4 linked regions of the Diceros bicornis minor genome follow. The protein of the gene in region 2 interacts with the protein of the main gene of each other region in a biochemical or structural test. Links are inferred from orthologs where the notes say so. Each region holds a gene or a part of one and is shown on either strand. Other genes may lie near its edges. The genes, in order: TLE1, LEF1, NLK and MITF.

Region 1 (7,171 bases), on a different chromosome or scaffold from region 2:
ACCAAGCATCTTCCCACATGTTAATGTTCAGCGCTTTAGATGTTCGCTCCCCTCTCCCCCAAAGACAGCATGGTGGTGGTTCCAGAAAGAGCACATTTATCTCCGTGTTTGGGAGCGCCTGTGTGGTCTCTGCCTAATTTATTTGCACTCCAGTCCTCAGGGATAGCATCGAAATCCCCACAAGCAAAGGGGGATTAGGGAGTGGGACTGTCTGCTTCTCTCCACCCCAAGGAGAAGGGAAAACAACTTCCCCACTCCCACAAGTTCTTCGGGCCACTGTACAAATTGTTCTTGAGCATGGAGGGTTTCCAAAAGCCCTAATTAGCAACTCACAGCAAACATTTCTTTGCATTAGCTAATGATCCGGCTACACTTGTAAGCAAACAGAACCAACATATCTAATCAATGGTGGAAAACCAACCAAATGCCTATTAAACATCTGGATGTAATTTTCTAGTTAGGACAAAATGAAAACATATGCAGGTTCCTTTGATCTGCATCTTAACAAAGAAATTGTTGATAAAAAAGCATACCGGTCAGTCAATGTGTCATTTTCATAAAGTCTGCTCGTTTCTCTTCAAATGCTCCCAGTTTAATTTAGTTGGTTTCCTGCAATCTCTAATTTTACCATATTGTGTGAAACCGCAAGAGATTCTTTGGATGTGATTTTATTTGAGGTTTTACTGCTGCATGGATCTGCTACCGATTTTTTTTTTTCCTTCTCTGCTTTCTCCCTTCCACTCCCCACACCTATCCTGCCCTTTTCTTTGGTAAAGGGATGGGGGGAAAAGGTTATAAAGCAATGCTAGGAAAATTTCTTCTGGACCCTACATTCTTAGGTTTAAGAAAATTCCCAGGTTAAAAAAAAGTCCAGTGAGGAAACGCATAAGCAATAACTCACAGCTAAAAGCAAAAGAAAATGACTAAAGTGATCCTTTAAAAATTAACATTATTATTTCAAATAAAAAATAGATTTAAAAGATGCATAATTTCCATGACCAGCATCCATGATTTTTCTGATTGTGTCTAGTACCTATATTATATGTGACATCTAGTTTTTGTAATTACTTCTGCTATTGCTGATTGAAAATTTGATAGTCAGCAACAAATGAATGGAAATATACCCACATATGCATCAATGATAAAATAAACAATCTGGCAATCTTTTCCTTTCTTTTGCAGAAGATAAAAAGAGAACTTTTTTCAGAGACAATTTCCTATAGAAGCAGAGTACTTAATATTATTTCATGTAAAAACATCATCAACATATGAATATCTTAAAGGTAAAGAAGATTATGGTTAACAGACTTTAAATAGAAGACCAAAATTATAGATTTCATGAGTAGGACTATTTTCTTTTAAACAGGCTGTAGGCAATCTGCACATATATTTATTTAAAACATAAGATTAAAGCTACTTGATTGTTTAAACACCATCATTTGTAATGCAGTTTGATGAGAGTTTTGTAGTATAATTATTACAGCATGACAATCATAGAGAAAATATGACCTTGAAAAGGGACACAGCCTTCTCCCTCTCTCAAGGAGGATGCGCTGTATGAGAAAGAAACCATTGAAAACCAACTGTCTTTATGCACACAATTAAAGGCCTTGCAATTTTAAAATCATCATTCTGTCTTTGCTCCAGATACTACATTATAGGGAAATCAGAAGGCCTAGTGTTTCAAACTCTGCTGGGAAGAAAGCACTAGTTAAGAGTATTTCCAGTTTTTATCCATGGCAAATGGGAAATACGGTGAGTAGATGTTGGCTGTGAAAAGCTGTATTAGAGAACATTTAAAGACAATGTGTTAGAACTGATTTTGAAGAGGATAGGGAGGGGAGAGAAGAGGAGAAGTAGCAACACTTTTGCTCCCGTCTCAACATATACCATTTTAATTTCTCAGTTTAAACTTAATTACCCACGTGTGCCCGTAAATCAAAGTAAAGCTTGGGTAACCCAGGGAGAAGTCTCAGTGGCCCCACTTGTCCTGGCACCCCCGGGCATCATTTGTGGCATCCAAGCACTTTCTACACAGTCCTGGAGCTGATTATGGGATGAACTGACCACAGACTGGCATACGTGGCCCAATTACTAGATGAAGATTTCAAGGAACAGAGGCTGCCAGAGGACAAAGCTGAGTTGCCCATGGATCACGTAATTTCAAAACAGTCCCGTACGCAGAGGAGCAAGCCTGCTCTTGTCGTGACCAAACTTAACCAAGGAAAGAGGGTCAGTGCTTCCTTCCTTTTCATTCTCTGTGATAGCATAATGAATAATATAAGCCTTTCCCCATCCCACTTAATGAGAACACTGCAAAGCCACAATGCTGAACTTGTTTAAGAAATTACTATCGCCTTGTACAGACTGGCTAAAATCACCCCTTTAATTTTTCATTTATAATTGATATTTGGGATTGATGCAATTATAGACAAATCAATATCATACATATTTAAGAATGACTCCCACAGTGAAATACATTATCTAAAATGATTCTTTTAATATTTCAAGAAAAAGATCTCTGTAAAAGCAAATCTTCAAATAGCATATATTTCTGTTTAAATAAGTGCCTCTCCGTAAGTCTCTTGAAAGTAAAATAATGGGAAAAGTGGAGGTTAATACCAAAAACTTGTTAAGTAGCTGCCAATATAAGATGAACGCTTGTCAAAGATGTGTCCTCTCATGGAAGAATTCACCACCATTCGCCTAAAAGAGCATTAGTCACTCACCAATCATGTGGAAACAGCTCAACTGAATTGTTGTTTAAACAAAAGTATAAAAGCGGCAATATTGAAGGCTTTCTGCTGTGTGGTGTATTTAGAGAAACAGAAACTGAAGACTTACACAGTATGCTCCGTTTATTTAAGATCTCAAAATGTCTTTTAAGTCAAGGTCCACCCCATAAGAATGTTAGCCATGTCATTTACCCAACGCTTCCCATCTAGCTCCTTACGCAGCTCTGCCTGAGGTACCACCCAAACTATGGGGGTGGGGTGGGCAGGACAGGTTTTTCAGGTCTCAATGCTGGTTTATCCCATTGTCTCCCTTTGTTTCCAGGAATTGGAAACAGACTCGCGGTCATGCTGCTGAGAGGCCCCTAAGACTCTCAGCAGCCCTCTACCCCCCTACACAGCGAAATCCAGACTTTTAAGACAAGGACCTGAGATTTCGCGCCGCGGGCAAAGCATCGCATCTGCGACTGGGGCACGCGTGCCTGACCCTGGCAGCACCTTGGTATCCTTCCCGCCAAACGAAGGCAGGCCGAACTTATTGCAAAGTGGGTTGAAATCCTTCAATAAAACCCAAATCCTACCACCTTGGGTGCAGAGGAGGTGTAGGCATTAAAAGCCTAGTCTTACGCGGCTGGTGTACGTACACCAGCCAATACGTTGCCCACTTATGCATTTTCCACCAAGAGCACAGTCCACTCCTTCTTGTGCATCCGCGAAAAGGCAGCTCAAGGGAAAACAAACCTCAGAGAAATTTTTGAATGGGACCTCACTTTCAGGGGTAGCATCAAACAAGGGGTCAGCACCGAAAGAAGCATTCCGCTCGAACTACCAAAAAAGCCCCCTCACCCCTTTAAGAAACTACTCTGTTAGTCTATCAGTTACTTTCACTGAGATCTGAGAATTTTCATGAAAGGGAAAAGTGAACAAGTGGCAGGATTTTTGCAAACTCGAGCCCCCACCTTCCGCGACTGCACGCTCGCCGGTCGGTCCCTCCCGCCCGCGCGCATCCGCGCGCTCCCTCGCCAGCCCCACGTTACTTTGATTGACAGCCCGGGCCCGCCGCTCTCCTTCCCACCGACCTTCCCATCCACGGTGCCAATCTCCGCGGCACGCCGCTTCCCATTGGCTGGTTTCGGCGTCCCGCGGCTCCTCCAGGAACAGTGCCTCACCGAGCCCGGGAGGACGCGGCTGGCGGAGGAGTGGTGGGGGTGGGGTGGGAGGGGAGACGGGGGAGACGGCGGAGATGGAAGCGAGTGGGGTGGGAGAGGAGGGGGGGAAACGGCCCGTCCGGTGCTGCGCTGCCATAGGCTCTGGGGAGGCGTCACGTCAACACCCCACGTTGGGCGCAGCGCACGCGATTGGCTGACGCGGGCCTCCCCGTGCCCCCCCCCAACGCCTCGGCCCACGTCCCCCGCCGGCTCCGCACTCGCGCCCCCCGCCCGCGCCGGGCTGGGCGGGGCCCGCGCTGGTTAGCTCTGGAGTGTGAAACCGCGTGTTAATGTAACCGGCGCGAGAGGCGCGGGCGGCGGCGGCGGGAGCGGCGGCTGCAGGAGCAGCAGCAGCAGCGGATACCCTGTGCCCCGCGTCCCCGAGGCAGCCGATTGCGCCACCCCACCCTCTCACGGCCGGGCGGGACCCGCGCCACCAGCCCGGACCTCTGTCGGCCCGCGGCGACTTAAACCCCGCCGGCTGCCGCCGCCGCGACTATTCCGGACTCGCCCGCGGAGTTTGCCCGCCGGGGAGGGAGGCCGAGCGGCGGAGTGCACTCTTGCTCCTCTCCCCACCATCTCGTGGATGTCGTCCCCCGGGTCGTGAGAGAACTTTGCAGCGGGCTGGAGCGCCCTTCGCGGAGAGGCAGACGAAGGGGAGGAAAGAAAGAGGACCGAGGAGGGGGCTCGGAGGAAGGGTCCAGGGCGGCCGAGGCAGTCGTGCGGGGCGAGTGCGCGCGGGGCGTGGCGCCCGGATGCGCCCCGGGCTGGAGGAGCGGCGTGCGGCTACGGGACTGCCCTCCGCCGATTAGCCCCGTCGGGCCAGGAAGGTTTGTGCAAGCGCCGAGAACACCGAGTACCGGTGGCGCGGGGCGTGCCGAGCCGCCTCCCGGCGCGCCCTCCGCACTTTCCCCGCCTCGGCGTCATCCCGCGCTCCTCGGCTCCCGCTGAGGCTGCGGAGCGCCGGGCGCGGAGCCTCCGTCGCGGCCCGGACCTCGCTCTCGCCGCCTCCCGGGGCCCCGCGAGCGCTCGGCCCAAGGCGCTGCCCGGCCCCTCAGGGGTCGGCCTCGAACGGCGTCAGGTTTGTTTTTGTGGGTTAGCCGTGGGCGTCGCGCCACCTGCACCTCGCCCGCGGCCGGCGCCGTGGGGAAAACTCGGAGGAGGCGGATCGGGAGAAAAGCGAAGGAAGGCGGCCCGCTTGGATCTGTTTGCTCGGGACGGCGACGCGCACGCGGATCTCGGAGGGGAGCGCGGCCGGAGTCACCCCCACCTCCCCGCCCGGGCGGCCGAGGCCGCGGCTTGGAGCGCAGCCCCCGCGCCGTCTTCCTGGGCGCCGGCGTCGCCGCACCGAGTCTGGTGCCCCGGGGCGCCCCGCGATGTGGCCCTGAGCGCGGGAGCCCGCACCGGCGGGAGCAGGAGCAGCCGGGCGCCGAGTGGCCGGTGCGCCCCGCCGAGCGCGCCTGCGTGCGCGGCCAGCGCGTCCCCCGCGCTCCCGGTTTCTGCCTGGCTTCCCGGCTTAATTTTCCTCGGCGGGATTAAAGTTGGAAATTGAGCGGAGAATTGAGTTGCCCGGGAACAGAGCTGCGGCCGCCGCCAGAGCGATGTTCCCGCAGAGCCGGCACCCGGTGAGGCGCGGCCGAGGGGCTCATGGGGGGCAGGGTAGTGAGGGGGGGGGCGCTGGTTTTTTGACGTGTGTAAACGGGTGGCTGCTACATTCTGGCAGACCCTGTCCCCCAGGAGTGCAAGGCTGCGGAGGTCCCGGGCCCTTCCCTCCTGGGGTGGGGAGTGGGCTGAAGCCCTCAATTTCCATGCTTTTCTCTGGGCTCCTTCCCACTTGACGTCTAGACAGGGCGGGCGGGTGCGCCCGGGGAGGCTGGGGTTTCTCTCCCGCAGCCACATCCTCCCCCTTCCCTGAGGCGAGTAGGGCGCCCCCCCTTTGTTTCTCGTCTCGCTTATTTGCATGTCAATGCGGCCCCCGTTCCGGCGCGCCTGGAGGTGGCCCCGGTGACTCTGGGAACCGGGAACGTAAGGGAGTTGTTTTTCTTTTCTGGTCCCCGGGGTCATTATCGTCCCCGTGGGGGGAGGGGGCGGCGACGAGGAAGACAGTCTCGCCTCGTCCTCCGCGGCCGCCCGGGAGCCCCTTTCCCTCCAGCCAGGAGACCCGGGCGCACTCACCGCGACCCGCTGTGGATGCCGGAAGAGGCTCCGAGCCACCTTTAGGAGCCGGGGGTCGGGGGAGGGTCCGCTTTCCCGCTCCCCAAAGTGAAGCGCAAACTCGAGTTCCCGACTGCGTTTTCCTCCACTTCTAACTTTATTTTTTGTTTATGTCCCACCCACTCCACTGCCCGCTGACTTACTGCTTTATCCATCCGCCCGCATCCCGTCCCTCGTCCCCCTCGCTGGTCGCCCCCAGACGCCGCACCAGGCTGCAGGCCAGCCCTTCAAGTTTACTATCCCGGAGTCCCTGGACCGGATTAAAGAGGAATTCCAGTTCCTGCAGGCGCAGTATCACAGGTGCGTGTCCGGCCGCGCGGGGCGAGTGGTCGCACGGGCAGCCCCGCGGCGCTCTGCGCCCAGCCTGGTGGCGGCGGCGGCTGTACTTAGTGCTTGCGTCCAGGCGGTGGCGTGTGGAGTCGCAGTTAAGACCTGTCATTCACGCTACCCCCTTTCCTGGCTCTTCCCGGGCCGCCTCTTCTCTTGTCTCCACCTCCTCCCATTGTTTCCCTTTTGCGCGTTTGCTGCTCTTCCAGGGAGTCTATTTTCGTCTATTTAGGAGTTGCATGAGAATCGTCAATATTTGCACTTCATTTATTTATTTTGCAACAGGCTGAGCTGAAACCTTCGTTCCAGCGATGCCCCAGCCCTGGAGTGCGGGTTCAGGGAGGCAAAGCCAGTGTTGAAATCGCTGTTTGCCATACTAGAGAATTGGGTTGTCTGAGGCAAAGTCCTTTATGGAGGGCTAGATGCTTTTCGCTGTCCCCTTCGTTGGTGGTGATGAGGGGAGTGATAGTGTGTAGGGGAAAGCTATCTGCTTTGGTGTTATTCTGGACTGGTTTGGGTAGGACAAGGGATTGGAGTCACATTTACATTCATCTCAGCTTTAGTTTCTTCATCTAATAACACCTACTTAAAAAGATTTATAAATGAAAACTATGTGTAAAGTACCCTGTCTGTCTAGTGGACTTTGGGAAACGTTAGTTTCTTCCTTTGCTCCTTTGAAATCTTAGCTTA
Region 2 (7,764 bases):
TGCTCAAGACGTGCATTCAAGAATGGGCTTAATGGGTTTTTAACCACAAAAACAGAAATTTTCTGGCTAGTCGCCTGTAGAAAAAGATTTCCAAAGTTTATCAATAAGAGGAATTCAAATGATTCACTAGTTGTGATAGTGAGTGCTTTCATAAAAATAATATTAACACTGGTCTTTCAGAATCTGACTTCTGTGGAAGAAAACTGTGTGGTGCCTGGTATGGAGTGTTGAAAAAGAAGCACTATGCACAACGAACACGTGTACATGTGTCCTGTCAACGTTCTCTTCCCAAACGTGGTCGCAGAAGAAAGTGTGAAGCATTCCGAAATCAGACAATATTTATGGCTGAAGAAATTCAGCTTCACATAACGGTAATTATGAACAAGATATTTTCCCTAATAAAATGACTGCAAAACAAAATCTGGAGAAACTAAGTGTTTCCCTATGTCCTCTTTATTTTATTCCACGTGATCAAGAATGGTCGCGAGAAAGAAAGGGAGGGAGAGAGTAAAAGGGAGCAGAGGGGGAGAGAGAGTCAGAGCCGGACGGCCTCTGCTGAGGGTTGGTTCTGCTTTAGAAACTGGAATGTGTCCAGGCTTGATTTTTATTTTCAATTCACATTTCAGATCCAGCTCCCCAAACTCTTTGATCTTTCTCCCTGTCTCCTTACCCGGAAGAGAACCCTTGGCCTTCTCAGCTGGGAGCTGGGAGCACACGTGGAAAGCCTGGCGAGGATCCATGTTCTCGCCAAATTTAGTCACACAAAGGGGCCTGCAAGGGAAAAGAGAAAGGATGAAAGCGACGGCCGCCGGGACTTCAAAGGCCGCGCCGCCGCGCCGGGCCCTGCGCAGGCGCCGCCCTCGGCGGACTCCGGCGCGGCGCGCGGGCGGCCTCTGCGCGTCCTCCCCCGGCCGGGGCGGCCGGCCCCGGGGCGCGCGGAGGGACCGCGCCGAGGGAGGGCCGGTCCCCACTCCAAGTTCGGGCGCCTGAGAAAAGTTTTCAGAAAGCAAGGAAAAGAATTTCGAGTGCAGCCCACTAGGCGAGCCGTCGTGCGGGCCGCCAAGGGGTCCCAGCCCGCACGTCCATCCACCCCTTTCCGGGCGCCCCCCTTCCGGCCGCACCGCCGGCTCCTGGCGGGAAGCCGGATGCCCGCCGCCGAGCCCTGCCGCGAGCGTGCGTGGCGGGGCCCTGGCTTGCACATCCCGCGCCCTGAGCCCGCCCGCGACCCGCCTTCCTGTCGCGATCACCCCCGCGCTCTCCTGTCCCTCTGGGCGACTCCGGCGGAGCCCGCGCTTCCGGGGGGCGGGGGGCTGGCCGAGCCCGCAGACGGCGGGGCGCACGTGGCCCTCCCTCGCGCCCCGGGCGCACCAGCGGGACGCGGACCCGGGCTCGGCCCGCAGCGCCCGGGGCGCGAGTGCAGCCGGCGGCGCTCGGGGGGCGGGCGGGCGCGGAGGGCGGGCCCGCGGAAGCCCGGCGTCCGCAGGCGGCCGGATTTGGGAACGGCATTTTTACGGTCCCACGAGTTCTGTTACCCGGCGGGTGGGGGTTGAGTTTGTTTGTCTTAGGAGGAGGCAAGAAGGGGCGGAAGAGCCCCTGGGACACAAACTGCCGTTTCCCTCGCCCCCTCTCCCTGTCCGCGAGGTCCGTTAAACCGAAGGCGCCCGCAGCTTTCGTCGCCTGGAGAGGCCGCGGTGGGAGTGGGAGAGGGGGTGCCGGCGCTCCGGCGCTGGAATCGCGTTATTCGTTTTCTAGTCCTGCACGCTCGCTTCTCTCCTCGCGAGCATCCTCTTCCGTAGGCCCGCCACCGCCTTCCTCTGGGATCCCACCAAAGTTGTCGCTGGGAGGGAGTCCAGGCCACACAAAGGCGAAGACCCGGAGCCGGGCGGGGGTTAGGGCCGAGGGGGCGGGGAGGGCTCTCCAGGGCACCGCGCTTGTCTCTGCTCCCTGTAATTAAGGACTCACTGGAGTGTCTGTAGCTGACTCGACTTGGCAGCCAGATCGCCGGGGGAGGGGTCTCCGGTGTAGGTGGGGGTCACTGTCCCGGGTCCCCTGCCCGCGCCCGCAGGGGCTGGGCCCGGCTTACCCTGGGGGTGCGAGGCCCGTCTCCGCTCCCCCCCTCCTCTGTTCCGGCGCAGAAGGAAGTGTTGATATAAAACGAGTCACTGTTCGCTCCCAAACTCAACCCCAACCAACCAAAGCCACCAAGAGGGGAAAAACCAACAGCAATCCAGCCAGCCCCTAGCAATTGTTTCACGGTCGGAATTAAATCACATCAAAACGCCCCCTGAAACCCACATCCTGAAGGAGTGAACCTGCACCAGCCAACCTCCAGTCGTCCGCTCGAGTTCACACGAACAACCTGGCCCTCCAGCCGAGGGAAGGGGGCGGCGGTGGCCGCGCTTCTCCCGCGCCGCACCCACCACATCCCGGACGGTGCGCCCGGAGAGGCGGCCGCAGATGTGCAGAGCAGCCCCCACGCGAATCAGAAAAGACCTCCCGGCAGCAGAGATGCCTTCGCCTGGAACTACCCGAACCCGTGGGGAGGGAGGAACGTCTTCCTCCTGTGTGTCCTGTTTTTTCCCCCAGGAGAGACGACTTCACGTGGAAATGTCAACCTCCCTCCCAGACAAAGCTCTAAAAGACTTGGGTGCATGTTTTCTAGTAAAGCCCCTTGTAAGTGCAGCCGGTCAGAAGATTTGCAACAAGGCTAAGGACAAGCAGCCGACACCCCGCACGCCACGGGGGAGGGAAAACAGCCACGCACACAGAGCCAGGTGCTGGGTGATTTCGTTAGAAACCATGTTTCCAAAGGAGAAGGTTGCCGCAAAATACCAAACGCAGCCACCTACCCTCGGCCCTTCTAGTGAACAGTTCCCACTAGTTATGGTTCCAAAAATTCCCATCTTCTCGAGCTCCTAATCTCCAGGACACCTGGAGCTGAGCTCCAAATGACTCAGGGAGTCCAGATAATTAACAGGAAGGAGAAAATGGGATTCGAATTAGTTGCAACACTTAAACAGGGGGGATGTAGGAGACGTCATTTAATCTCTCTTTGGCTTTCAGAAAATACCCTCTGGCCATTCTGTGTGCCCCCCTCCCCCTCCTCGACGGTTTGATGAAAAGGAACGTGTACTCGGGCTGCTTTGGTGAAACTGCATTTTCCAGTTCTTTTCCTATCCGTCAGATTGGCGCATTTGTGGGAGGACTTTTGACTTTGTTTTCCCATATTTCTTTTAGAACAGAGGGTATTAATGTCTGACATAGCTACATATTCACACCTCTAGGACATTATGCTCACACTGGTGCATAGCTTCAAGGGAAGTTGCATACGGCCACTAAGCAAAAAATAAAATTGAGTTTCTTTCCAACCTTTTTAGCATTGACTTACGGAAACGTTGTAGCAGAATATTCTCTTATGTTTTCCTTCTGTAAAGCATAGCATTGTCAGCTATTTAAAGTGGATTTAATGTTTTACTTTTCCTGGCTCCCATCACCAGCCCCTTATTTTACCCCAATCCTCCAATACAATTTCCCTGTGACTACTGGCCATGCTCCATGTCACCATCTGAACCCTTTAAATGATATAGTTTTAAAAATTGCTTCCTAGTAAATTCCCATCTGTAGGAAGTAGTTATCAGTAGGTGAGGTTTTAAGTGCTCATTTAGAGCATTGTTAAGGTCTTTACTTATACAGTGTCCAGCAGCATGCAATTTCCCCCTTAGAAAAAGAGGGATCTTTACATGACTATTCCTATGTAATAGAGCTCCAGTCTGATTCTGTGGTGTTTTTCCTTATTTTCAATTTAAGAGAGATGGAGACACATTTCTTCCTGCCCCTTGTTTACTGTTCTGAGGTTTTACAGATGGCTACTGTATTGGGCATAATAATTTTGCCTGGATTTTTAACTGAGGGGGGTTCAGAGCCAAGGAACAAAATGTAATGTGTTTTCAAACTCCAGCTCTGCTCATACTGTAACTTTCACAAAGCATCTCCTTAAAAGCCTGTCCTTGTACAAAATGCATCAAAGAGACGGTGGAGGCTGGGGAATTTTTGAGGTTGGATTCGGATTTGCATCTTCAAGGGTCCCTTTGAGCGCGCAGTCGGAGGCGCCAGAGACTGCCCTGTCCTCCCTCCCTCTACTGGCTCCGCTCTCCTGGGTCCTTTTGCCTTGTCTTCTCCCTCCTTGGGTTGTTTTTTCATTCTCTACGAGGTGTCCACACATTGTGCCGTGTATCTCCGAAAATCCACGGGAGACCTAACTCTCTCTGTACATCCCACGGTGAGGATGGAATGAAAGAGATCTTGCTTAAAAAGCTATAATTAAGATCCAGTCTTCAGTTTTTTCTTCCTCGTCCTATTTTTCTCGGTAAGCCTGCAGATTTTATTTTTGCTAGCGTGTGTTCCCTTGTTCTTTGACATTATATTTAGGAAAGCCACAACTGTCTTTCCTGTCCCTCCTGCTTCCGTTCTTTCTTATTAGTTGAGCAATGTCTGTTATATTTTCCCCTTTTCCCTTTTCCCTGTCCGGGATTCCCGCCTCATCCCCTCTGTCAGAGCATCTATCAATGTGGTGTCGATCACAGCTGCGGCGGCTTCTCTTTCATCTTCTTCCCCTGCCAGAGCGAGGGAGGGAAAGAGGGAGGTGGAAAGAGGGTGGGGGAGAGACTGGCGGGGTGGGGGGGAGAAGAGATACTTAGATGATGAAGTTAAACCATTCGGGCAGAGTTTCTTGTCAATTTCACGCGAGCAAAGCGTGCCTCTCGGTGGGTTACAAGAAGCGCCCGGTCCTTCCTTCCCTCGCCAAGTTGCCTGATCCTTTCCTCCAGGCGCGCGCGCGCGCGCACACACACACACACACACATACACACCCCAAAACTAGGACTCGTCCTACAGGCTCTGGGAAAAAAAAGACCTCGATCACCACCTCCTTCTCGCCATCCCCCTCCACCCCCCTACCCCAGCGGGCAGCCAAGGAGAGTTGGAGGCGGGGGAGGGGAGGGGAGGAGAAGCGACGCAAGTGGGTAGCTTTACAGCGCCGGCGAGGCGCGGGAGGAGGAGAACCGGTGGGGAGGCGCCGCAGCTCACCTGCGGGGCAGGGCGCGGAGGAGGGATCCGGGCTGCGCGCGCTCGGGCCAAGGAGCCGGGACGCGCTCGCAGCCCCGCACGCGGCCAAGCTCCGGGCGTCGCCTGGGCCGGGCGAACCCGAGGGGTGCAGCTCTGTGCTTTGACAGAGCGGCCCGGCGGAGGCGTGGAGAGCGGCGAGCGAGTGAGCCAGGCTGAGAAACTCGAGCCGGGAACAAAGGGGTCGGGCTGTGTGTGTGTGTGTGTGTGTGTGTGTCGGCTCCAGCTCCCGGCAGAAGCATTTGGGCCCGAGGACCCTGCTGTGACTTCTCGAGACCCCGCCGTGCCCTCCACTGCCGACTCCCAGCGCTCGCCGGCACAAACTTTATTCTTGGCAAACTTCTTCTCTTTCTCTTCCCCTCCTCCTCCGCCCCCACCTTCTCCTCCTCCTCCTCCTCCTCCAGCAGATTAAATGCGCCTGGAGAGGGAAAACCGAAGCGAAAGGGAAGGAAATAAGAAGCTCTAAAACGGACATCTCCAACCGGGGTGGCTCTTTATTTTTTTTACCCTCCAGGAAGTGGACATTTCGTTATCCTCATATTCTCCTTGCACCTTCTCCGCTGGGGCAAACGGAGCCTTTTTGCCCAGCTCCTTTCTTTACTCGGAAAACAAACTCCCAAAGGGGAAGCTAGGGTGGCGCGGTTGGCTTAGAGACGCGCCGACGGACCCTGCTGCGCACTTCGGAAAGTCGTCCCACTTCTGAACCGGCGTCCTCGGCGCGCGGACCCCGGAGGCGCCGGGGGCGTGGGGCGGCCGCCCGGGCAGCCCAGCCGAGCGCGCGCCACGCCGCACCGCGCCGCGCAGACGCCCCGGAGGCGCCGGCGGCGGCGGCCTTCGCAGCCCCGTGCCCTTCGGCCTCGTGGGCGGGCGCCGGCGTCGGGCTCGGCGGAGCGGGAAGGCGCGGGCGCCGCCGCAGCTGCTCCGGCTGCCGGCCCCGCGCTCGCCGGCCCCGCTTCCGCACGCGTCCTTGCAATTCTCTTCTTCCTCCCCCCGCTTTCGTTGACCCCCCTCTCTTTCCTGCTGTCGCCTCGGTGCTCCCCCAGCGGAGCGGAGATTACAGAGCGGTCGCGATGCCCCAACTCTCCGGGGCCGGCGGCGGCGGGGGGGACCCGGAACTCTGCGCCACGGACGAGATGATCCCCTTCAAGGACGAGGGCGATCCCCAGAAAGAGAAGATCTTCGCCGAGATCAGTCACCCCGAAGAGGAAGGCGACTTAGCTGACATCAAGTCCTCCTTGGTGAACGAGTCCGAAATCATCCCGGCCAGCAACGGACACGAGGTGAGCGGGCCGCCGCCCCGGCTCCGAGAGGCGTGGCGGGTCCCGGGGCGCGGGAGGGGAGGGAGGGCGCCGGCGGTCCGGCCGAGGGGCCCATGGGCGCCCCGGTGGCAGGGGGCGGGGTGGCTGGGCCGCTGGTCAGCGCTTTTCCTGTGTGCGCGTGTGTCGGGGGGGCGGGGGGGCGCAGGGACACTTATCCCGAGTGGGTCTGTTCGGGTTGGGTGGCTGGACCGTGGGTTTGCGGGCAGGAGAAGCTGCCCTTAACCCTGAACGCCTCGCCTTCGGCCTCGTTCGGTGGGCTGAGCGGGTGCGAGGACGTGTGAGCGGCCCTGAAAGTTCTTCCGTAGACGGAAGACGGCGCGCCCGCTGCCTCCGGGTGGGTGTCTGCACGAGTGCGTTAAGCCGCCGGAGGCTCAGGCGAGACGAGCGGAGCCGCAGGGCCGGGGAGGGGAAGGGAGGGGAGGGCAGGGAGGCGGGCGTGGGCCTGGACCCGCGGGCCGTCCCAACCGCCGCCGAGCGGGGCCGGAGCCGCCGAGCGGGGGCGGCGCGGGCGGGTCCCTGGCCCCGAGGTCCCACGCGCCGGCCGAGCCTCCCCGGGGGCCTCGCAGGGCCGCCCGCCACGCCGGTTTTCTCCAGCCCGCGTCACTTAAAGGAAAGAAAAAAGAAAGCGCTTATGTTCGGGGTTAGTTTGGGCCCGGATCAGACCTTCAATCTATGCAGAAAAAGGCGAGTCAGAGTGGAGATGCGGCGGAAGCCAGGGCACCCACTCCGGAGGGTGGAGGGCGCCTTATCAGATCTCCCGGCCGGCGGCGAGCGCGCCGTAACCCGAGCTGGTAAATAGAGACACGTGGGCGCCGGCGAGCGGGAGCGCGAGCCCGGCGCGGGGACGGCGAGTTCAGGCCGCGCGGAGCTAGCGGGGCGGGGGCGGGAGGACCCTGACACCCGACACCCCACCGGCCACCCTCGCCTTCTACTGGGAAACGCTGTGGAGGAAATCCGGTAGAAAGGTCCTGACACTCAAATGGTTTCACCAACGCTTTTTCCCTCCAGAGGAACTTGGAGGGTATACCCTTTTTCCTTAAATGGCATCTTTCTGCCCCCAAAAAGAAAGCGTGTGGTTTTGGGGGCGGGGACATTTTGGGTTTTAAACACACGTTTAAGAACACCTCAGAGTTACCTTCTTAATCCCAATGGCAGGGGTGAGTACGCGTTTTGGAAAGCTGGGGGCCTGGTTCTAGAAGAACATAGGGGTGTTCGTTATCCCCTGAATCTTTCGTTCCCACGTGCCAATTTGACGGGAACCTCGGGAGGGGGGCTAGGGTGCACCCAACCTCATTAAAAACGTTTGTGACTGTGGGGGGGGGAG
Region 3 (6,980 bases), on a different chromosome or scaffold from region 2:
TGACTCACTTCCGACTTCTCGTTCATCATGCTCAGCTTCTGAAAATGGAACGCGATGGAAAGGGCCGGATATTGTACTGTCTGGTGATGTGTTTCAGGGGAATTGGGTGGCTGTCAGGCCAGCCCCACGTGGACAGAATGCTGGGGACATAAGCTGAGCAGTGCCCAAAGTGTATTTCTCATTTGACACTTAGGACACTTTGCCTTGGATTGTCATACTAATAATAACCATCCCACTTACTGCCACTGATGAGGAGCCAGGCAAGCCCCAGGCTGTGTGCTTTCCATGATTGTCTATTTGAATCATCACAACAACTGGAGAAGTCAGGGATCCTCTCTATTTTATGGACAAGAAAATGCAGACTAAGATAAGTTAAGGAACTTGTCCAAGATCACAGGGATTCAAACCCGTGATCTAGATCTGTGCTGTCTAATCTGGTAGCCACTAGCCCCACGAGGCTAATGAGCACTTGAAATATGGCTAGTGTAACTGAGGAAACTGAATTTTTAATTCAATTGAGATGTGCTGTAAATGCAAAACATACACCAGATTTCAAAGAACTAGTATCAAAATATAACACATATACAATTTTTTACATTGATTACATGTTAAAAATTATAATATTTTGGCTATGTTGGGTTAAATAAAATATATTAAAAATAATTCTACCTGTTTCTTCTAACTTTTTTTTTCTTTTTTTGCTGAGGAAGATTCACCCTGAGCTAACATCTGCTGCCAATCCTCCTTTTTTTTTTGCTTGAGGGTGATTAGCCCTGAGCTAACATCTGTGCCAATCTTCCTCTATTTTGTATGTGGGTCGCCACCATAGCATGCCTGACAAGTGGTATAGGTCCACGCCTGGCGTCTGAACCTGCGAAACAGGGCTGCCAAAGCAGAGCATGCCAAACTTAACCACTATGCCATGGTGCTGGCCCCTCTTCTAACTTTTTAATGTGACTCTTAGAACATTTAAAATTTCATATGTAGCTCTCATTATATTTCTATTGGACAAAGCTGATCTAAACCATAAACATTAAATGGCCACTAGACCAGTGATTTCCCAATATTTTTGATAAAACATTTTGAGCATAAATCTCCAATTTATGTATTTTTATTTATTTATAAATTATATACCTGTACACTACTCCATATATTATGTACATTATAAAACACTGACAAAATGGACATTTTAAAAAGATGTGATAAAAAATAAGCAGAAATAGAAATTTTACTAATTTCTTCCTGGAGCCTAATGGAGTGTGCACACACCATTTTGGAAACTCCTGCACTAGACTTAGAGCTCCTGGAGGGCAGAGACTTTAATTCATGTACCTCCCCTCCCCCGTTGTTGAACCTAGCACCCTGCCTAGATATAGCTTAACAATGTTTGTGGAAGGAATAAATAGTTCTTAATATGCAATCATTTTCTGGTGGATTGGATGTATTTGTTTATTTCACATGTACTGAGCACTTTCTAGGTGCTAGGTACTATACTGGGTGCTGAAAAGTAAACAAAATTAAAGAAGACTCAGCCCCTCTTCTCTAGGCCAGTGCTTCTCAAACTTTCGTTGAGTGTAAGAATCACCTGGAGGGCTTGTTACACAAGACTCCTGGCCCCCAAACCCCCAAGAGATTCTGATTCAGTAGGTCTGGGGTGGAACTTGAGGCTTTGCATTTCTAAGAAGCTTCTAGGAAACTACACTTTGGAGGAGACTGATATGCATTGGGAAATTAGAAAGGCATCCCAAATATCATGTGAGGATGGGGATAGGGAAAGAGAATGAACATATATTGAACTTTCACTATTTACCAAGAACTTTGAAATACATCACCTCAACTTGATGAGGCACATATTATTATCTTCATTTTCAGTTGAGGCAAATGAGACTCAGAAAGGTTAGTTAAATTGCCTGAGTGATAGAGCTAGTTAACGGCAGAGCTTGGATTGGTACCCACTCCTCCTGCACTCAGTAACTCATGCAAATCTTTATTAAGCGTCTTCACCTTTTGGACACTGCCTTAGGAGCCGGGCATATAACATTGAGTGGGACAGACAAGCTTTCTGTCCTGGTCAAACTCAGTAAACAATTAAAATATAGAGTTCTTAGTGCTATGAGGGAAGCAGTGCCGTGGAGATGTATAACCAGACACACAGTCTACAACAGGGTTAGGGAAAGCTTTCCAGAAAAAATATAAAATTTATGTGGAACCTGAACGATAAGTTTGAGGAGTAGAGGGTGGGTGGGGAGTGTTTGGGGCCAAAGATATGCAGGAAAGCTCGAAAGCAACAAACCATTTGAGGTACTGAAAAAAGTTCAGAATGTCTAAAGTAAGGAGGGTGGAGGTGAAAGATAAGGCCGTGGAGAAAGGCGGGAACCAGATCGTGTTGGGCTATTTAGACTTATTGACTTTATTCAAGAGTAGGGGTGATCAAAAATAAGCAGAAATCTTTTTAAAAGATTGCTATGCTCTCAGTGGAGGATGGATTAGAGGAGAGCTAGCCCGTAGGCAGGGAGATTCATTCAAGATGCTAGTGGCATAAATTTGGGTAATACAGTACTGTGGTGATTGGGGAGAAGGAGGGAGTATTTAGAAGTGTTTAAAAGTGTTTAAGACTTGATGATTGACTAGAAGGAGAGGAGTGGGCAGGCAAAAGAGGAATCAAAGATGATCTCCAGGTTTCTGAGTGCACAGTTTTAATAAGATAAGGATCTGTAAGCTTATTATTTCATATTTTAAAAGAAAAGTAAATTCAGATAAGTGAGGTTATGTGAAAGGGAAAGAAAGATGTTATTTTAGTAAGATTTCAATGACTAGTACTTATTGACTTAGAAAATACAGGAGAAAATTATGATTTCTGTGGTTACGTTTATTATCGTTGTTTTAATTTGTATGGATAGCCTTATCATTCGTTGAGAGTGGATAAGAATGCTGGAGATAACGCCTCTTTTCGCTAAGATGAGGATCAGCCATGGAGGACCAGCTTTGGGCTATGAACTGTCAGTTTACTGAATTTCTCTTATGACTGTCTTGTTTAATAACCTTGGACCTTGAAGTTTCTGAAGCTGGACATTCCTTTTTGCTCACCCTACTTCTCCAAATCTTATGCCTTAAAAAGGGAGAGTAGACGGATGCTGTCAATGGACCAGAGATGATTTGGACTCCGCCTTCCTCGTCTAGGCCCCGCCCCTTTTCTTTAGACCACACCCCTTTTACTTGGCTCCGCCCCTGAAGAGGTCGTCGCTGATATGACAGAGAATTCTCCACAATCCTGACCTATAGGGGATCTGAAGGGTGGGACCGAGATCAATCTTTTTTTCCATTTGTCAAATCAAATGTCTATCTGGCCGCAGTCCCATCCCACTTCATCCTCAAGCCAAGGATTGGTTGCTCTGCTCTTGGTTCCAGGCTCATGATTGGTTCTTTCATTCCACCCTCTCTTCCAGCTTTTGCAGGCGGGATTAGCACGCAGCTTCCTGCTCCGGCCAAAAAAATAAAAGAAGAAAAAGAAAAGAGGAGAGAGGCGAAAGAAAATGTCACGGAGATCTTTGGTTTTTAATTCGCTTTTAGCCTTGTCGGTCAGGCCCAACTCTGTCTTTTGATTGGTCTTTCTCTCTGTCCATCCTGGATCGGGGGCGGGATTTCCCCAGGAGACCCACACCTTGTCGCCACTGGCCGAACAGTGCGCCTGTCTGAAGCTCCCGGCCCAGGATTGGAGGCGGACGCGGACAGGTGGGCGTGGATTGGCTAGGGCAGCCGGTCAGTGTGAGGCGGGGGCGGGGCCTCGGCGGCTGGTTGCGCGTGTCCGCCGCTGGCTCCGCTCTATCCGGCTTTGCTAGGGGAGGTGAGTCCGGCCGCGGCGGCACCGGCGGCTGAGGAGGCGGCGGCTGAGGAGAAAGCGGCCGCAGCGGCTGAGGCGAAAGCGGCCGCAGGGACGGAAGCCGGGTGGGGGGGAGGGGGGGAGACGGAACTGCCTTGAGCCCTGCGGGGGCCGTCGCGCGGGGGGACCCACCCGCTCTCCCCCCCAACCCTCCTCAGCAGAAGCAGCCGGCGGCGGGGGCAGGAGTCAGCCCGCTTCCGACTGCACCCCGCCCGCCTCCCGGGGCGCTTATTCTTTGGCCCCGGGACCCTAACCTCATCCCGGGGCGGTTCCCTCTGGGCGTCCGAGAGCTGCCCACCTCTCTTTCATTTCTCCCTGCACCTCCTTACCTTCACTTTGCCCCGGTTCTCTTTCTCCTCTGCGTCCTGCCCTGTCGCCTCCTCCGCTCACCGTCTCTCCTGCCTCCTTCCCTGGCTCTTTCCTGTTCAGGAAAGTTTGGTACCCCCGCCTCCAATCAGGTCAACCTGACCAGGAGCGGGGGGAGATGTAGGAAGGCCTGAGAGTTCGAGGGGGGGGAAAGCTGGTGTCCCTGAAAATTTCCCCCCATCTTTTTAATTTGGGGTGGTTGGAATTTTTTACAGTTGTATTTTTGAGGAGGTGGTAGGTGTTTAGAAAAGGATGTGGGAATGGAAGGGGTAGATGAGTCAACCCTCTTACAGGATTCCAAGGGTGGTGTGTTACCTGATCCTTTTCGTGTGTGGAGTTCAGGGGGTCGGGAGGCTTGGCCTTTATTCCCACATTCAAAGTTGGAACCTCCCCCGAATTAAGGATGGAGTTTTAGTACCCACTTGTGGCAGGAAACCTGGGGGGAAGGGGTCCCTTTTCCCTTTTTCTTTTCTTTTTCTTTTTTTATATTCTTTTATTGTTTTGGCACCCCACACCCTTCCACACACGCTCACCCCGAAATTAAACACCACGATCCTCTAACGTGTTTGGATTGACTGATGAAGACATAAAGCCAGTTCCGCTCCATGTTTTTTGAGGTGGAGTGAGTGGTTTCTCTTCATTTTTAAATGGCCAAATGACAGCTTGACCCAGTTTGCTTTCCAATCAAAGGGCATTTTTTTTGAATGTCTCTTTGTGGCGCAAGAGCCAACGCAAAAATGATGGCGGCTTACAATGGCGGTACATCTGCAGCAGCAGCAGGTCACCACCACCACCATCACCACCACCTTCCACACCTCCCTCCTCCTCACCTCCACCACCACCACCACCCTCAGCACCATCTTCACCCGGGGTCGGCTGCTGCGGTACACCCTGTCCAGCAGCATACTTCTTCGGCAGCTGCGGCAGCCGCAGCAGCGGCCGCAGCTGCAGCCATGTTAAACCCTGGGCAACAACAGCCATATTTCCCATCACCGGCACCGGGTCAGGCTCCTGGACCAGCTGCGGCAGCCCCAGCTCAGGTACAGGCTGCCGCAGCTGCCACAGTTAAGGCGCACCATCATCAGCACTCGCATCATCCACAACAGCAGCTGGATATTGAGCCGGATAGACCTATCGGATATGGAGCCTTTGGTGTTGTCTGGTGAGTATCCAAAGAAAAACACAACTTCTCCAGGTTTCTTATGGTTGTGATTGGCAGAGTCATCTCTGGTGGTTTTCTCCATGTTGACCAAAGTGGAGCAAGCTTCTCAACTCAACTATAGGAAGCCACTTACCCTCACTTCGGTGGTAAAGAGGCCTAACGCGTTGGCTATCTAGGTTTATATTACACTTTTGAGTCATGGCACATTTTGGTGGAACACCCTCTGATGAGTAAATACACAGTCACTTTGCTGTCTACCAAACTTTTGGTTAGAACCTTAGTAAGCCACTGAATGTAGGATCAATAGATGAATGTATGAAATGCTTATTCCTCCAAAGACCTTGGTCATCGCTCGTGTTTGATTTAGTTTGAATCAGTTGCCCAATTGCAGCAAATGTCACAGCTGACCCACACTGGATTCTTTGTAATAGTCTTGTCATTGGGATATGCTTTGCATAGCTACTTTGCTCTCCTTTCCGTCTTTTCATTCCTTAATTTGTGATCTTGATCCCCAGAAGGAAGGTAGGTTCATAGTTGAACCAGTTAAGTCGTTGCTTGAGTGGTTTATTTTAAACCATAAAGCTACATTCGGGAAGCATGTAGCTTTAGCCTTTTGATAAGAATGCATTAAATATAGCATCACACATGAGTACCACAAATGAGGTCAGTAGACTGTAGCTATGCAGTGGCCCACATTTGGTGTAATGTTTTAGTGTTATTTAGTGTCATTTGGTCCCTCTTAAATTGCTGTTATCCCTTGGTTGGTTGCTGTAGTAGGAAGTATACTTTTTAAACATATGAAACTGCTCTACTTTTGCTAGTGCTAGGATATTTTTTTAAAAGTCTAAGGGCTTCTTAAATGCAACATTTCATCTATTTACCCTTCTGAGGAAGATTAGTAGTTTACAGTAAGATGTATTTATCGTTATAGGGTCCTATTCCAGTCAAAACTAGAGCAAACTGAGTTTTTCCCCCCAAGGATTAAGTGTTCTGCTGTGGATAGATGAATTGATGTTTTCAGTGCATTCAAAAATAGATTCTTGTTAACGTCTAGAAAAGCCCCCATAACCACAGGAAAATGAACTCATGGGAACTAGCCTGGTAAATGTCTCCTTTCGTCATTGTTTTTCAGGCTATAATTGATATAAGTATCATTTTTGCATTATATCTGGCCATCTTTATTTATATTTCAGATTTTATCATCTAGGTTACTCAATGACTGATCTGTTGTTTTTAAACTAGTAAAGTCCAGTGTTTTCCTAGCTAGCTCTCCATGGAGGTTGCCGCTGCAGTGCTCCCTTCTCGAAGGTGTGTGGGGTTCCGGGTGGGAAAGAGTGTAGCCGGTAATGGTGCCTGTCAGGCGCTCTGCTCAGGGACCTGCCTGTTCCTGCCTTCCTCTCTTCGCTTCCATATCCTATCCTCAGGGATTGCACTGTGAACTTCCATTCCTTGCCTTACCCTTGAGGAGTCCAAAGCTTGGGGTGTAGGGGGAAGGGTGGATAGCAAAAAGGTTGTTCCTTGCTTTAAATTTTGTCATTGATTTACTGGGAATTTGTTTGGATTTTCTTAGAC
Region 4 (7,146 bases), on a different chromosome or scaffold from region 2:
TTTCACATTTTATACGCTAGATTTTTTCCTTTCTTTTTTTTATTTTTTGAAGACTAGCTTAGTCACATTTCCAAGAATCCTTTCTCTCTGTCCCCTGCCCTCAATGGTTGCTCCTTTCTCAGACGCTTGTAGCGTGTACCTCTCTGTCACTCTATTTATCCATTAAATCATTTTCGTTCCTATTCCTAAAAAGGCAGGGACTATGTCCTGAGTGTGGGGAATACACGTCTCATCACTGCTATTTCCCCCTTATCTAGCACATAATGTGGCTGGTACAGAGTAGGTGCTCCATAAATAGTTGTTGAGCTAAATAGATATGAAAGTATGATCAAACACCAATCATCTGCTGCTTAGCATTTGCTACCTTATGTGTGGTTTCTCATTGTGTTCCAAGCCTTGACTCAACTCCTGGACTGTGAGCCTCTTGAGGGCAGGGAGGAAGTCAAATACATTCTTGTAGTCCGTTTACCTAACACAATGCCATGTCCATAACTAATGCATGTTCAATGTGTATTAAAACGGGGACCCTTGCCCATGCATCTCTGATGGATTTTTATGAGCTCAACAAGAGGTGCATGTGACATGCATGTGTAAAAAAGTAAACTATTACCTAAATATAGGTCATATTATTAATGACAATAATTAATTATAATCTTTAGCCATTGTTTTTGTACTTTTAATAGGCATAGTTCTTGGTTGAAATATGTGGAGCTATTGACTTTTATTATCTTTTTTTGTGTGTGTGTGAGGAAGATTAGCCCTGAGCTAACATCCGTTGCCAATCCTCCTCTTTTTGCTGAGGAAGACTGGCCCTGGGCTAACATCCATGCCCATCTTTCTCTAACTTTATATGGGACGCCTCCACGGCATGGCTTGACAAAGGGTGCTTCGGTCGGCGTCCTGGATCCGAACCTGCCAACCCTGGGCCGCCGACCCCTGGCCTTGGAAGTGGAGTGTGCAAACATAACCGCTACACCACCAGGCCAGCCCCTTATTGCCTTTTTCTAAGTGGTAGCTACTCCTAGGGTTCAATTCACTAATGAAGAGGGATTACAGGGGCTATCCAGCAGGTGGCCAACTTTTTGTTTGTGGATTAATGGTATAGTAGTCTATAGAAAATTGTCCATTTAAAGGAGTGAAAGGTTTTTAGGGTGATTACTCAAATCTCTTTTGGTTGCAAGTGCCAAAAAGCTAAACCAAATAGTTCTGGCAAAAAGAAAAATTTTTTTGTGGTTCATATACCTAGAAAGTCCAAGGATGTCTGACTTCAGGTATGGTTGGAACGTGAAACTGGAACAATGTTATGGTAGTTTTCTACTTCTCAGTTTTGCTTGTTTCTGCTTCTCTTTGATTGTTGATCTTATCTCAGCCTCTCTTGTTTTTGATCAGCTTTGTTATGTGGCCATAAGTAGTTAGGTCTAGGTTTCCTTTCTTCTAACACTTTGCTTCCAAAAATCAGACAGTCAGTTGCCCTAGCAGAGAAGTCCCAAGGAGGACTTCTAGTCATGGTAGGGTCCTGTGTTCATCCATAAAGGAATCACTGTGGCTAAGGAAATGGGCCCACCTATTGGTCAGGATTAGGTCACATACCCACTCCCATTGGGTTGCTGATGGCGCTGTGATGGATAACCTTGCCATATGTGACAGAAGTTTTCCTGAAGCAAGAGTAGGATGAGACCAGAAGAAAAAATGTAGGGGAAAAGAAATAGCAGCTATCGGGCCGGCCGGTGGCTCAAGCGGTTAAGTGCGTATGCTCCGCTGCGGCGGCCCAGGGTTCGCTGTCCCGGATCCTGGGTGTGCACCGAGGCACTGCTTGGCAAGCCATGCTGTAGCGGTGTCCCATATAAAGTGGAGAAAGATGGGCATGGATGTTAGCCCAGGGCCAGTCTTCCTCAGCAAAAAAGAGGAGGATTGGCATTGGATGTTAGCTCAGGGCTGGTCTTCCTCACAAGAAAAAAAAAAAAGAAAAAAAAATAGCAGCTACCTGTGTCTACTCAGGGCAACCTCATCTCAGAGCTTTGCACCCTAGGGATCTCTCTGGAAGGTGCCCTTAGTTGGAGGTAAGTTCAGAGGTCTTAGCTTTCTTGACAGTTTTTTCCCCTTCAGGTTTGGTCCTTTAGGTCTAGTAGATCACTGTTTGATATAATGAATGATGAAACGGACTGTTTCATTACAGTTCAAAAGAGGTTATAAACTGCAGTTCTAACATGAATCCTTGATGGTCTTTAAAGGTCAACAGGCCAAAATTATGCACAGAATCTTGTTTATATCTATATTTCTGGGGAGAAGGTCCATAGCTTTCCTCAGATTAAAAAGCTTCTGGTGAACCAAAAGATTATGAAGAGTCTAGTGTTTCTCCATGGGGGTACCACCGATATTTGGACAAGAGAGTCTGTCATTGTATAGCATCTCTGACCCATACCCCTTAAATGCCTGTAATACTCCCAAGCTATTAATGATGATCAACCCCTCCTCCCACATTCCAAGCATTCTACGGTTGAGAATCAAGATGAGACTAGGAGTCTAGGCTGAATGTTCCCTTCATGTTTTACCTCTCTTCTTCCTTCTGGCAGAGAGTAACACTTTACTTTTAACATCTGATTTCTAGCAGTCCGGCGATCAAGGAACGTGGGATACCACATTCATGAGCACAAAAAGCCCACTTTCCTCAAGAGTGTTCAGGTTCTGTCATAGTTTAATGGTATGGACCAAACGTGAAATTAAAATGTTTCATTGTGAGGCAAAACGTGCAAAGGGCAAGTCCTGAGAGATGTCCAGTCGTTAATCTAACCTCCTCAGAGTTTTCTCCCAGGATGATCATTTAGTTTATTACTTCTGAAAGGACAAAATCACAGATGAAATGTTCGTCTGCAAGGAATATCCTCAAGATCTAATAAATAAAACAATGACCATTGAACACCATTTTTACAGACTACAAATCACTTTCTCTTGCATTTGACCTTGCAACATCTTCTACAACAGGTTTGCCAATCTCCTCTTTCAGAGATGAAGAAATCAAGGCTTCTAGGAATCAAGTGACATGCTCACCATTACACAGCGCTTTAGAGAAGGACTTGGGATTTCAGCTCTGGGTCTTGTAACTTTAAACACCACCCTCTAACTCTCTACCGCCTCCCTGATGCCTCAAGACTTTTAAAAGAAGGAACACATCCTACTGGAACTAATCAGAGAGCAGGACTGGAAGTACAAATGAGCCATACCAGACCCTGTTATTCTGGTCCCTAAGTGAATGCCGGGAAGCTCAGGGGAGGGTTGACGCTTGCACAGTTTATGTACCCCACAATTTCACTCCTGAAATGTTAGGACAATCTCGTTTGAACTCCCGGCCAACTGAGAAATTAAAAGCAGACAGTGATGACGCTGTTTTGTTAACTTTGTGCCTTTTAAAATTCACCGAACCTTTGAAGTGTTGCTTTAGATTAGAAGTGGCTAATTGGATAGAGCGGACAGAGCCACTCAGCTGGATGAATAGTATTTTACAAGCCCAGTCCGGGTCAGTTATAGAAATGAAACGCACAAGAGCACTTTCTACAGTGTTTTAATTACAAAGTGAAGGAAACTTCCTCCACTCTGTTCCAATCCGAGGACAAGCTGATATGTCGCAGCAGCGCTGGGAAGCACGCAGGCTGATAGGAAGACCTTTTATTTTAAGGGAGGCTTGAAGGCTAAAACTTTGTAGTGCAAAACACTTCACTATTTTTTTTTTGTTTTTAATAACGACTTGGCGTGCCCTCTCAAGTGTCTGAGCTGGGAGGCGGGATGACGATAGGAGAACAGGGCTGAGTCCGTTCTTATTAATATTAAATAGCCAAGTCTGTACCCTTGAAGTAAGCGGGGAGAGACGAGCGAGAGGAGCTGCTGACATTGACAATGAATCCAAACAGGAGTTGCACTAGCGGTGTCCACCACGTTGCCTCTGCCCCCGCCTGGCCTTCTGGGAGTTGTAGTTTTCGCGGGAGCTGCTCCCCTGGCGAGCCGGGAATGCCCCGCCCGGACCGAACTACAGATCCCAGGCAGCGCTCGGCCGCCGGCCCCTCCCGCCCGAGTGCGAGTGTAAACTCACCGCGCTGGGGCGGGCGGCCGCGCGCGGGTGAGGGGCTGAGCTCGGCACAGCGCGGGGGCGCGCCGCTCGGGGGACCCAGGCCCCGCCACCTTCCCTCCGCCCCCGGGTTCTGTTCGCACTTTCCAGCAGTAGAAGGCCGGGAAGCGGGAGCCATGCAGTCGGAATCGGGGATCGTGCCGGATTTCGAAGTCGGGGAGGAGTTTCACGAAGAGCCCAAAACCTATTACGAACTCAAAAGTCAACCCCTGAAGAGCAGGTGAGTGGTGACAGTTGGAGGGAGGCGCGGCGGGCGGCTGGGGGGCCCCGCGCCTCCCACCTTGGGGCGTGGAAAGCCGGTTGGCCGGGCTCTGGGACAAGGACCCCGTGCCCTTGCCCCGGGGCAGAGGGCGAACTGCCCCCCGCACTTGGGGGCCGTGCACGCCCAGCCGGTGCGCCTCCGGGGGGTCTCCGCCGAAGCGCACTCCGCGGGCGCGGCGGGCAGCCTGGGACCGCCCGCCCCGGCGAGGGGACCCTTGGCTGGGGATACCAGTGGGGGCTGGGGAGCGACCCGGAGCAGAGGTGGGGGAGGAGGAGCGCCGGGCCGGGAGGCAGTCGCGGTGGAAGGGAGGGAAGAAGAGTTTCTAGTGAAGCCCTTTTTTGAAGATCTCAACGGGCTGACGACTTGGAGAGGGAGAGCTTGGGGTGGATTGAGGCGCGACGTTCGAGGGAAGCAATTAGCTTGTCTGTTGTCGCCTCTTAGGAGTCCGGTCCCTGTGGGAAAACCCGCCCCTGGCCGCCTCCAGGTGAGGTTTCTCTGAGCCCCGCCTCTCACCTTCCCGCAGGCTGCACCCGAGCGCGGGCGGGGCCAGGGGCAGCGAGGGGGCGTGTCTCCTCGTCCAGGTTAAACTCCCTGGGCGATAGAGTCCCATTCAAATCCAGGCCTTACCTGGAGGGGAAAAAGCCTTGGGACTGGAGGGTTTTGGGAGTGTCCCCTGCTTGGCAACGACACGTGTTTATTTCTCTGGGGACTTCAAAAACTTTTTAGGAGAGTGAAGACACTGGCAGGTCTGGCGCCCCACCATCTCTAGTGCCCACTTTCTATGTTACCTCCACTCCCACTCATCTGTCGGAATGGGTTGGAGATCTTCCTTTCTGTCCTGTGGCACTCCGGACATTCCCATAGTTCACTAAGAGGGAGATGGTCATTTGAGGCTGTAGTAGTAGAGAAGGGTTCATTTCCACCCCTCAGTTGTGACATAAGATAAGGCTACAACTGGAAGGTTCAGCAGTGCTTCAGCACTCTCTCAAACCTTCCTGCCTGCCCCTGGCTTTGGGTAGGGCCTGGGTGAATGGACCTGGCTGGCAGAGGGGGAGTGGGTCCAGAAATCAGGGTGAATGAAGAAGGGCAGCTCAGTTAGGAGTGAGGTGGTGTAATCTTTGCTTCTGGGGCACAGGAGGCTGGTACTTGCTCTAGCTGAAAGCAGAGCCAGGCTTGTTTCCTTCAGGCCAATGTCAAGACTGAAACCAAATTGGGGAAGAAAATCTGGGAACAGCACACCCACCGACCGGGTTGCTGAAGCAGCCACTTTGCTGATGCTTCACCAAGATTGGGAGGAAACCTCCTATGCAGTTAGATGCATAAAACTAGCCTTTAGTTGGTGGTTTTTCTTCATAATGGCTGTTTTGTGTGTGAGCATAGATTGTGTGTGTTGGGGGTTGGGGGTTTTGAGTAATATTGTGTAAAGGGTATTGTTGGTTATGCTCATTGGGGCTTTATCTGCATTCGGCTGAAGGGACCAGTGTTTTACCAGGCAGTCTCTGCTTTTGCTTCTATAAGCAAATGCTTGCATGACCAGAATGAGGGAGTGAGTGTGCGTGTGTGTGTAGTCCTGAAAGAAATGAATTAACCGGACTGTTTAGAACATTTTTGATGGTAGCTGATACATAAATTAAATGACTGAGAGAGTGAGGAAAATACCATCTGGAAAAACCTAAATGAGTGCCATGAAACTCCTGTTGAAGGATTTGGGCCTGCTCTTTTTCAGAGTCGGCAAAAAATTACTTGCAAGGGTGAACGTCCTCGGCAGCTAGCTAGCACATGTAAGGAAAAATGTGCGTACGTGGGAAGCAGTGGCTTCACACGTTGAAGCTAGAAACAGGTGCGGGACAGAACCGGTATGGAGAGGAAGGCTAAATTAAAAAAGTTGTTGTAAAACTTGTCTGTGGAGCAGACACATGCTCTTTGAAATAAACCAGTTAAATAAAATCTGTGAATAAATATATGGGGTTGGCAAAATTCCCCCATACTGTTTTCCACAGTTGTCTAACGTATTGTCATCGACATCTGTTGTGTGACTTTAAAAGGGCCACACGTTGTTCAGGGTCTCCTCATAGCTTTTTGTCTTAAGTCTTTGCTGGGGCACTTACCTTCTTGTAAGTCGTGGATGGAAAAAGTTGAAATTGAAAGCTTAAGGCTGCTGTAGCCATTTCATCTATGAACTGTGTTCTCCGGATTGTATCTTGGAGTTGAAAATATGTCCAGAATCTGCCCCCTTCTCACCAACTCCTCTGCTACCTCTTTGGTCCACGCCAGCACCAGCCCTCGCCTGGGTTAATGCAGTAGTCTCTTAACTGCTCTCCTGCCTTCCACCCTTACCCTCTTTCAGTGGATTTTCAACATAGCAACCACAATGTTCCTGTTAAAATTGGTTCTCAATCTGGGGGCGATTTTGCAATGCCTGGAGACATTTTTGGTTGTCACAATGGAAGGAGGTTGCTACTGGCCTTTAGGAAGTAGAGGCTAGAGGTGCAAAGCATTCTGTAGTGCACAGGACAGCCCCCACAATAAAGAATTATCTGGCCCCAAATCGTCACTGCTGAGGTTGAGAAACCCTGTGTTAAAACGTGTTACATCATGTCATTCTCTTCTCAAAACCCTCCAGTGGCTCCTAGTTTCAGTAGAACTCAAGATCCTTAAAATGGCACAAGCAGCCTCTCTGGGCAAGCTCCCTGTCAGCTCTGACTTTCTTGCTTGCTGCCCCTCTCCTGGCTCCCTCTGCTTCAGCCAGGTTGGTCTCCTTGCT

Evidence for each region.
Region 1: the proteins of LEF1 (region 2) and TLE1 form a complex in vitro, tested with the Homo sapiens proteins (2 studies listed by BioGRID and IntAct, with this or other methods). The link is inferred for Diceros bicornis minor from reciprocal best matches to the Homo sapiens genes LEF1 and TLE1.
Region 3: of the proteins of LEF1 (region 2) and NLK, one has a biochemical effect on the other in vitro, tested with the Homo sapiens proteins (4 studies listed by BioGRID). The link is inferred for Diceros bicornis minor from reciprocal best matches to the Homo sapiens genes LEF1 and NLK.
Region 4: the proteins of LEF1 (region 2) and MITF form a complex in vitro, tested with the Homo sapiens proteins (2 studies listed by BioGRID). The link is inferred for Diceros bicornis minor from reciprocal best matches to the Homo sapiens genes LEF1 and MITF.

What each region holds. Positions count from the first base shown.
Region 1 is NC_080761.1:12,946,992-12,954,162, forward strand, and holds the start of TLE1 (transducin-like enhancer protein 1), read left to right. Parts: upstream 1-4,165; 5' UTR 4,166-5,541; coding exon 5,542-5,565; intron 5,566-6,353; coding exon 6,354-6,454; intron 6,455-7,171. UniProt on the Homo sapiens protein: Transcriptional corepressor that binds to a number of transcription factors. Inhibits NF-kappa-B-regulated gene expression. Inhibits the transcriptional activation mediated by FOXA2, and by CTNNB1 and TCF family members in Wnt signaling.
Region 2 is NC_080750.1:3,900,961-3,908,724, reverse strand, and holds the start of LEF1 (lymphoid enhancer-binding factor 1), read left to right. Parts: upstream 1-4,759; 5' UTR 4,760-6,191; coding exon 6,192-6,401; intron 6,402-7,764. UniProt on the Homo sapiens protein: Transcription factor that binds DNA in a sequence-specific manner. Participates in the Wnt signaling pathway. Activates transcription of target genes in the presence of CTNNB1 and EP300.
Region 3 is NC_080757.1:19,327,433-19,334,412, reverse strand, and holds the start of NLK (serine/threonine-protein kinase NLK), read left to right. Parts: upstream 1-3,963; 5' UTR 3,964-4,950; coding exon 4,951-5,408; intron 5,409-6,980. UniProt on the Homo sapiens protein: Serine/threonine-protein kinase that regulates a number of transcription factors with key roles in cell fate determination. Positive effector of the non-canonical Wnt signaling pathway, acting downstream of WNT5A, MAP3K7/TAK1 and HIPK2.
Region 4 is NC_080741.1:68,237,178-68,244,323, forward strand, and holds the start of MITF (microphthalmia-associated transcription factor), read left to right. Parts: upstream 1-4,140; 5' UTR 4,141-4,236; coding exon 4,237-4,340; intron 4,341-7,146. UniProt on the Homo sapiens protein: Transcription factor that acts as a master regulator of melanocyte survival and differentiation as well as melanosome biogenesis.